2 linked regions of the Sus scrofa genome follow. The protein of the gene in region 2 interacts with the protein of the main gene of each other region in a pairwise test. Links are inferred from orthologs where the notes say so. Each region holds a gene or a part of one and is shown on either strand. Other genes may lie near its edges.

Region 1 (3,812 bases), on a different chromosome or scaffold from region 2:
AGACTAGTTCCATAGGCGTGATCCATACAATTACTTTTAATACTATGGATAACCATTTTCATTGGTTAAAAAAAATTAACTTTGTATCACACTATGATTAAAAGTACTTATCTTTCCAGTTTCAACTTTCAAAACCACAAATTAACTAAATTTTTTGTTTCTTAAGATTACCAGACTGCTCTCAAAATGACATCAATTCATTACATTTTAACTTACAATCATTTTTTTTTAAAAAACTCATATTTGAGTGGCCTTAAAAGTACTAACATGTATAAATCAGCTATCCAAATTAGGATCTTCTTCCATCCCCAATATCGTATTTTTTAAAGATAGATGCTACCTTTTTTTATAGATCAGCACATCAAAAACAAATATTTAAAAGAGAAAGTTTAATTCTAGCCTATTTATTAAAAAAAAAAAAAACACAAATGTGAGACCTAAAAATAACATTTTATACCCCTCAAAGATAGATCAAAAATTACTTACCCCATACACCTGCAGCTAAAGATTTATTCTGATTTGGTTCTCTCTCATATTCAGGATTTAAAGACGGCTAAAAAATTGGAATAAAAAGAATCAAACAAATGTTTAAAATGCTCATATTTAAGAAAAAAAAATCCTTTTAAAAATAATCTCGGCGTTCCCCTTGTGCACAGTGGAAACAAATCCAACTAGGATCCATGAGGATTTGGGTTTGATCCCCGGCATCGCTCAGTGGATTGGGCATCTGGAATTGCCATGAGCTGTTGTGTAGCTCAGACGAGGCTCAGATCCTGTGTTGCTTGGCTGTGGTGTAGGCCAGTAGCTGTAGCTCGGATCTGACCCCTAGCCTGAGAACTTCCATATGCCATGAGTGTGCCTAGAAAGAAAGATAAAAAAGTAATCTCAAAACCATACTAAAAAATCTAATATAATGAACTCTTAACTATTAAAAACCAATTACTGGAGTTCTCTTGTGGCTCAGCAGTTTAAGGATTCAGCACTATCACTGCTGCAGCTTGGTTTCCATCCCTGGCCCAGGAAATTCCACATGCATCCAAAAAAAAAAGGGGGGGGGGGAGAAAAAGACTCCAATTATTCATAAACCTTACTTTGCGCTTATTCTAACAATTAAAATGGTTACTATCTACACTCACTCCAAGTTGGAGAGAACAAGGGAAGTGTCTTTAAATATTCTCATCCCCAACTACCTGAGGAAAAAGTGTGAATTTGGGGAAAAAAAAAAAAAAAGCAAATGCAAGGAGATGTAGTCTTTGCATCAATATGAGAAATCATCCTTTCTTAGCATAAGGTCAAGATCAGGGACAAGAAAATCAGACTGTCACTCAACTGTTCCATTAGGTTTCACCACTGGATGCTTTAGTTAACAAATTCATTCTCAAAGCAATTTACAGATTCATATTTCAAAAAGTGATGCTCAGGGTATTAAACAGAAAACTGAGCTGAGCACTTAATATATACTCTAAAGCTACTCTCAGCAGATATTTACTCATCAAAAAAGGGAGATTGTTTAAAATTCTATAGCGAATAAAATGACAAATTTATCCAAAATTGTAAAAGACCACACAGGGAGACACAGAAATTAATGGGGGGGGGTGAGAAAGAGGAATAAGATTGGGGGAGGAGAGAGTTATGAACAAAAAGCCTCTAAAAATGTTAAGATTAACTTAAACTGTCAATTGTGATCACTTTGGAAAATGAGGTGTCCTAATTTCCTAACACTTGATGCTTAAAACAGCACTTACAGAAATCTCATTTGTATTAAAATTACAAGAAACTTACAAAATCCTCAGCCTCAAACTGTTTGCGTTCTCTCTTGTCTTCTTTCCTCCCCGTTTCATTGTCGGGTATGTTATTTTCATGAAGTCCTTGGTTTTTTCCAGAATGGAAAATACTGCTACGAGAACGGGAGCTTCCACCATGGTATCCCCCTCGGTGATTTATGTTTTCAGTACCATTTCTTCCATGTGTACGCCATCCATTTTTTTCTTTCCTTCCAAAGTTACCTTTATTTAATAATAGTGAAAGTATTATAAATTCAAAGATAGTTACACTTAAAGATCCAATCACAATCAAAATATCCTTAGAAGAATATGAAGAAAAAAACTCTTGATTCTTAGCAAAATGTACCTCCATTAGGACGTCCAATACCAGAATCAAAGCCATCTGAAGAATTGTGTCGTCGACGATTCACATCATAACGATTTTCTGTCCATGAAAAGTTTTCAGAATGCTTTTCAAAATTCAATGACGACTGAAACAAATTATAATACAGGTAAACGTACAAATAAAACGACCACAACTTTTAAAATTTTTAGTACTCTAATTTCATTTATTTAAAAGAATTTTAAACAGTTAAGAACATTTTGTGGTTATTTCCTATGTGTTCGGTACTGGTAACTCATAAGATGGACTCTACTGTTCGTCTATTTTTTTCTACCTAACCACAAACAAGAGCACCACTCCTAAAGAACTCAACAATTATTTCTATTTACCCAAGTCTTTATTTTTTTATTTTTATTTTATTTATTTTTTTTTTGTCTTTTTGCCATTTCTTGGGCCGCTTCCACAGCATATGGAGGTTCCCAGGCTAGGGGTCCAATCAGAGCTGTAGCCACCGGCCTACGCCAGAGCCACAGCAACGCGGGATCCGAGCCGCGTCTGCGACCTACACCACAGCTCACGGCAATGCTGGATCCTTAACCCAGGGCAGGGATCGAACAAGGGCAGGGATCGAACCCGCAACCTCATGGTTTCTAGTTGGATTCGTTAACCACTGCGCCTCGACAGGAACTCCTCTATTTACCCAAGTCTTTAAAAGTAAAATGCTAGCGTAAGGGAATCAAGGCAAATACACTGTACACTTTTTTTTTTTTTTTTTGCGCCACACTTGTGGCATGTGAAAGTTCCCAGGCCAGGAATCAAACCCATGCCACAGCAGCAACCAGAGCCACTGCAGAGACAACCACAAGAGAACTCCCCTATAGTGTACTTTTTTTTCTTTTTGTCTTTTCTTGAGCCACTCCTGTGGCATATGGCGGTTCCAAGGCTAGGGGTCTAATCGGAGCTGTAGCCACTGGCCTAATCCAGAGCCACAGCAACTCGGGATCCAAGTGACCCACACCACAGCTCACAGCAACGCCGGATCCTTAACCCACTGAGCAAGGCCAGAGATCCAACCCGCAACCTCATGGTTCCTAGTCAGATTCGTTAACCACTGCATCACAACGGGAACTCCAAGTGTACTTCTTTTATAACAAAATGCTATACTGTGTATCACACACTATTTGACTTAAATAGCCCAAGGTTTTCTTCAGCATCAGAAAATTATGGCAAATGAAGCTACAGTTCTATTTTAAGTTGTCTAGGTTTATTTCCAAACTCCTCTTCCCCAAAGCAAATGCTTTTAAAAATCTGTCAAAAGAAGAATGTGTAAAAATGATTTTAAAAAATTAGAAATGTATTAAAACATTTAAAAGTCACAACTATTCATAAAGCTCACTGTTTTCCCCAATAATAATCCATTAATTTGATAAAGCCACATTCAAAACTCCATTTTTTTGTTTTAATGCCCTGATCATTTCTCTCAGTTTTACTAGTATTACAATTTCTTTCAGGAGTTCCTGTCGTGGCGCAACAGAAACGAATCTAACTATGGTTGCAGGTTCAATCCCCGGCCTCGCTCAGAGGGTTAAGAATCCGGCATTGCTGTGAGCTGTGGTGTAGGTCACAGATGTGGCTTCTATCTGATGTTGCTGTGGCTGTGGCATAAGCCGGCAGCTATAGCTCCAATTTGACCCCTAACCTGGGAA
Region 2 (3,796 bases):
CGCTGCGGGAGCAGGTAGACCGAAGGCCGCGTCCCCTCAGGAAGTGGACGTGTGCGTGGGGGCGCTGCTGGCCGAGCCGGAGGTCACATGACCCCGTGGAGGGTGGCCCGGGGCGATGGGCTGGGGGGGTGGGGTGACCCCGACAGGAGCTGTGCACTGGCCTGTATCGGGGGGAACCTGCCAGGCAGGGTTCCCTGCCAGGCCCCTCCCCCGCCTTGGGATGGGGTGCAGATGAACTTCCGCTTCTTTGGGGGAGAAGACAAGACTTTTATTTTCATTAAAAAAACAAAAAATAGAATGTCCTTCTGGCCTCGGCCGCAGGCTCAGTGACGCTGAGGGCAGCAGTGCTGGGGCGGGACGCAGGGTACAGGCCTCCCCCCGGGAGCCCCAGGCTAGGGGGCAGGAAAGAGAGCCGGAGGCTGCGCCAGGTCCCAAGGCGGCACTGTGACGGGGCTCCACTGTCCCCACAGCCAGGGGTGGGGGTGCTGCCAACAAGTCCCCGGGGCAGGGGGTGGGGGGCAGAGCCTTGGTGCCGCTCCCATCCTGGTGGTGGCAGCCCCATGCCAGGGCTGAGACTTCTCGCTCCAGGGTTTTGGGCTCCTGGAGCGGCCAGCGGGGGCTCCCCCCGCAGAAGGGAGCAGGAGTGGGGGGGCCTGGGGCTGCGTCAGGAAAGACACTCACGTGGCTGCTGCCGCCTTTCGAACGTAAGCAGGTTTGTTTCTTTAATTGTGTGTGTGCGTTTATACTCCTCTTTATTAGTGGATAAATATTAGAAAATCATCTCTCGGAAGGTGTGGGCAGGGGTGGGCTGAGCTTGCCCAGCCGGCCGGGAGCGGGCCCTTCGGGAGGCCCTGGCCGGGTCTGCAGGGTGAGGCTGTCCCGCCAGGGCTCGTAGACCAGCGTGTAGCTCTCCGCCCTCTTGACGGTGAACCTGTAGGAGCGGTTGGGCAGCAGGTTTCGGACGGCGACGGTGCAGGCGGCCACGGGGATGGCCCCGCACTGTGTCCGCTCCTGCTGGGTCCGCGGGTCCAGCAGCTTGAAGCGCAGCTCGAACTGCTCTGCCGCGGCCGGCTGGATGGTGACAAACCAGCGCAGGCTGACCCAGTCCTGGTGGGCCACCGAGGCCTTGCGGTCAAACACGACGGGCATCTTGGTGCTCAGCATGAGCCGGATGTGCGGGACCTTGGCGGCGCCAACGTCAGACACCAGGCGGTGCTTGATATGCAGGCGCCCTGGCACCATCATGGCGAGGAAGCTGTCCATGACGGCCGCCAGGTCCGCCAGCCGCTGCTCCACCAGCCCCCAGCCCGCCAGGAAGGGCCGCGGGTCGGGCGACTCCAGCAGGGCGTCCAGCTCGGAGCGGCCGTGGTCCAGCTGCTCCAGCAGGTCCCCGAGCAGCAGAAGCTGGATCTTGGTCTGGGCGGTGCCCAGCTTCTTCATGCGCTGGAACTTCCAGGGGTCGATGAGCTGGAACATGGCAGAGGGCAGCACCAGCGGGTTCTGGTCGCCCAGAGCCAGGTGCTTGGGGAGGATCTCGATGTAGTAGGAGCACTTGCGGAGGAGGTCCATGCGGGCGTGGTGGCGCCTGAGCAGGTGGGGGCTCAGGTCCGAGGTCAGGAACTCGCGCAGAGCGTTGCGCCGCTCCACGTAGGTGCGCCAGGCCTCCGGCTCCAGCAGCTGCTGATCCTCGGCCTCCTCGGCCTCCTCCTCCTGGTCCAGGAAGGACTGGGGACAGTCCAGCTTCATGTTGTCCAGGCCCAGGCCTGATACCTGGAAGTTCATGGTCTGGGAGCAGGGGATGGAGGGCGGGGCGTGAGCTGCAACAGTCACACTGGCCTCTGCTGCCCACCCGGGGGCTCTCTTGGGGCAGCGTTGGTGTGGGGGGTGACTTCAGGCCCACTGACCCCCCGGCCGGGCCCTCTGTCCTCCCTGGCCTGGGGGGCTGGTGGTGGGAGGCGGGGAAGGAGTTTGGGGTGAGGGCTGGTTTCTGGAACGAGGCTGTCTGGAGGGCCAAGTGGGCAGGCTGCCCATCTGGGTCAAAGTGGACTTGAGGGTGTGACACTCTGTTGATGGATTGTGATGACACAGGGCAGGGCAGTGACCGTGGGCTCTGGGCCAGAACCCCCCACGGGGAACCCCCACGGAGCAGCTGTGAGGCCACATCTGCTCCCCTGGGCAGTTGGGAGGACCCAGGGCGATCCTGTCTGAGCAGCACCCGAACCCGTGGGGACACCTCTGTGCTGCAGGCCCTCCCTGCCTCTCTGTAGGTGCAGAGCCGAGCTCAGGGAGGTGGGTGGCCCCTGGCCTCACCCAGGGGAATAATCCTGCCAGTTCCCGGGCCCGGCTGTGTCCTGGGGCCTCGGGCGCCTTGCTGAGCTGACTCCACAAGCAAAGCCCCAAATGGTGAGGTCTTGGCACCCTGCCTCACAGAGGGGGTGCATGGGGCTACAGAGCTCGCTAGCTTGCTCTCCGTCCAGGCTTTGCCGCAGCCACAGACGCCAGAACCCGAGTCTCCTCCTGCACCCTCTCCCACGCGGGCTCCCAGCTGAGTGTCCAACGATGCCTGGTGAACCCACAGCTGGGCACGGCTGTGGCCCCAGTCCCTGGCCACAAGGCTGGGGCTCCCTGGCTGCTGTCCCCGGTCCCAGCTGGCCTCCAGGTCAGTGAGACAGACCCAGTGGCTTCACCTGGGTGGGAGAATCCCTAACAGGAGCTGAGAGGCTGAGCAGCCATCCAAGGCTGCACGGTTAAGGTGCAGAGTGGGCTCGGGACCCAAGTCGGTCTCCCTCCCCAAAGGCCAGGCCCTGACCTTCCAGGGGCAGAGGCGGCGGACCAGGCCCTGGGCACTGCAGAGAGGATGTCTGGGGTGAGTTGCCAACCCAGACCAAGACCCCTGGACTCCTGGCAAAGTCCTGCGCTGGCTGGAGCCTGGGACAGATTCATGCCGCCTCCAGAGGCTCCAGATCTGGCTTCAGTTCAGAGGCCTCGCCAGGGCCCAAGTCTCTAGCTGGAAAACCGCAGAGGGGCCGCTGGGGAACTCGGGGAAGAAGCCGCCTGCCCTGGCCCCTGGCCTGCCTGTCCACACCTACACCCCCCCACCCCGACCCCCACCCCCCACCCCTGGCCTCAGACCCACTTCCCCTCAACCCGCCCACTTCCGCCACAACCCCCTCGTCCTCCAACCCCCGGCCGCCTCCCCGCGCGCCCAGCCTTCCCGCGCGCACACTTACCCGGCCTCCCGGCGCCGGCGGAGCAGTGCGGTCCGACTGTGTGTGCGTGCGGAGCCGCCGGTTCCAGCCTCCCGCCCGGCGCCCCGCGAGTTGCCATGGGGACTTTGTGACGCCCCGACCGCCCGGGGAGGGGGCGGGGAGGGGGCGGGGTGGGCGGGGAGCCAGGGCGCGGGATCGGGGGTCCGGACTGGAAGGCTGGAAGAGTTGCAGGAAGGTGCGAAGATTGCGCGGGGCGCGCCCCCCAGGCCCAGGACCCGGACCGAACAAACCGCTTGTCCCGGATGAGTCACCAGCCCCGTCCCTCGCCCTGGTCTCAGCTTGGACAGAACTGCCCAGAGGTTTCGCTCCCTTCCCTGGGAACCTAAGCATCACGACCTCTGCCCCAGCCGGAAATCTCCTCAAGCCTCAGGACATCCCTGGCGCCCCCTCTCCCTTGCAGGTTATTGGTGGGGACCCTTCCAGGATAGGGCGCCTGTCCCTGAGGCCCGCTCCCAGTCTGTTCGGTGACAGAACCTCTCCGCACGGGGGCCTCCACCCCTCCCGCTGACCTCACTCGGCTTTTGCCC

The links.
Region 1: the proteins of FNDC11 (region 2) and GPBP1 interact in binary tests that used the Homo sapiens proteins (3 or more experiments, as listed by UniProt). The link is inferred for Sus scrofa from reciprocal best matches to the Homo sapiens genes FNDC11 and GPBP1.

Annotation. Positions count from the first base shown.
Region 1 is NC_010458.4:36,265,431-36,269,242, reverse strand, and holds part of GPBP1 (vasculin), read right to left. Parts: intron 2,255-3,812; coding exon 2,131-2,254; intron 2,007-2,130; coding exon 1,783-2,006; intron 554-1,782; coding exon 487-553; intron 1-486. UniProt on the Homo sapiens protein: Functions as a GC-rich promoter-specific transactivating transcription factor.
Region 2 is NC_010459.5:62,556,670-62,560,465, reverse strand, and holds FNDC11 (fibronectin type III domain-containing protein 11), read right to left. Parts: upstream 2,173-3,796; 5' UTR 1,783-2,172; coding exon 778-1,782; 3' UTR 505-777; downstream 1-504.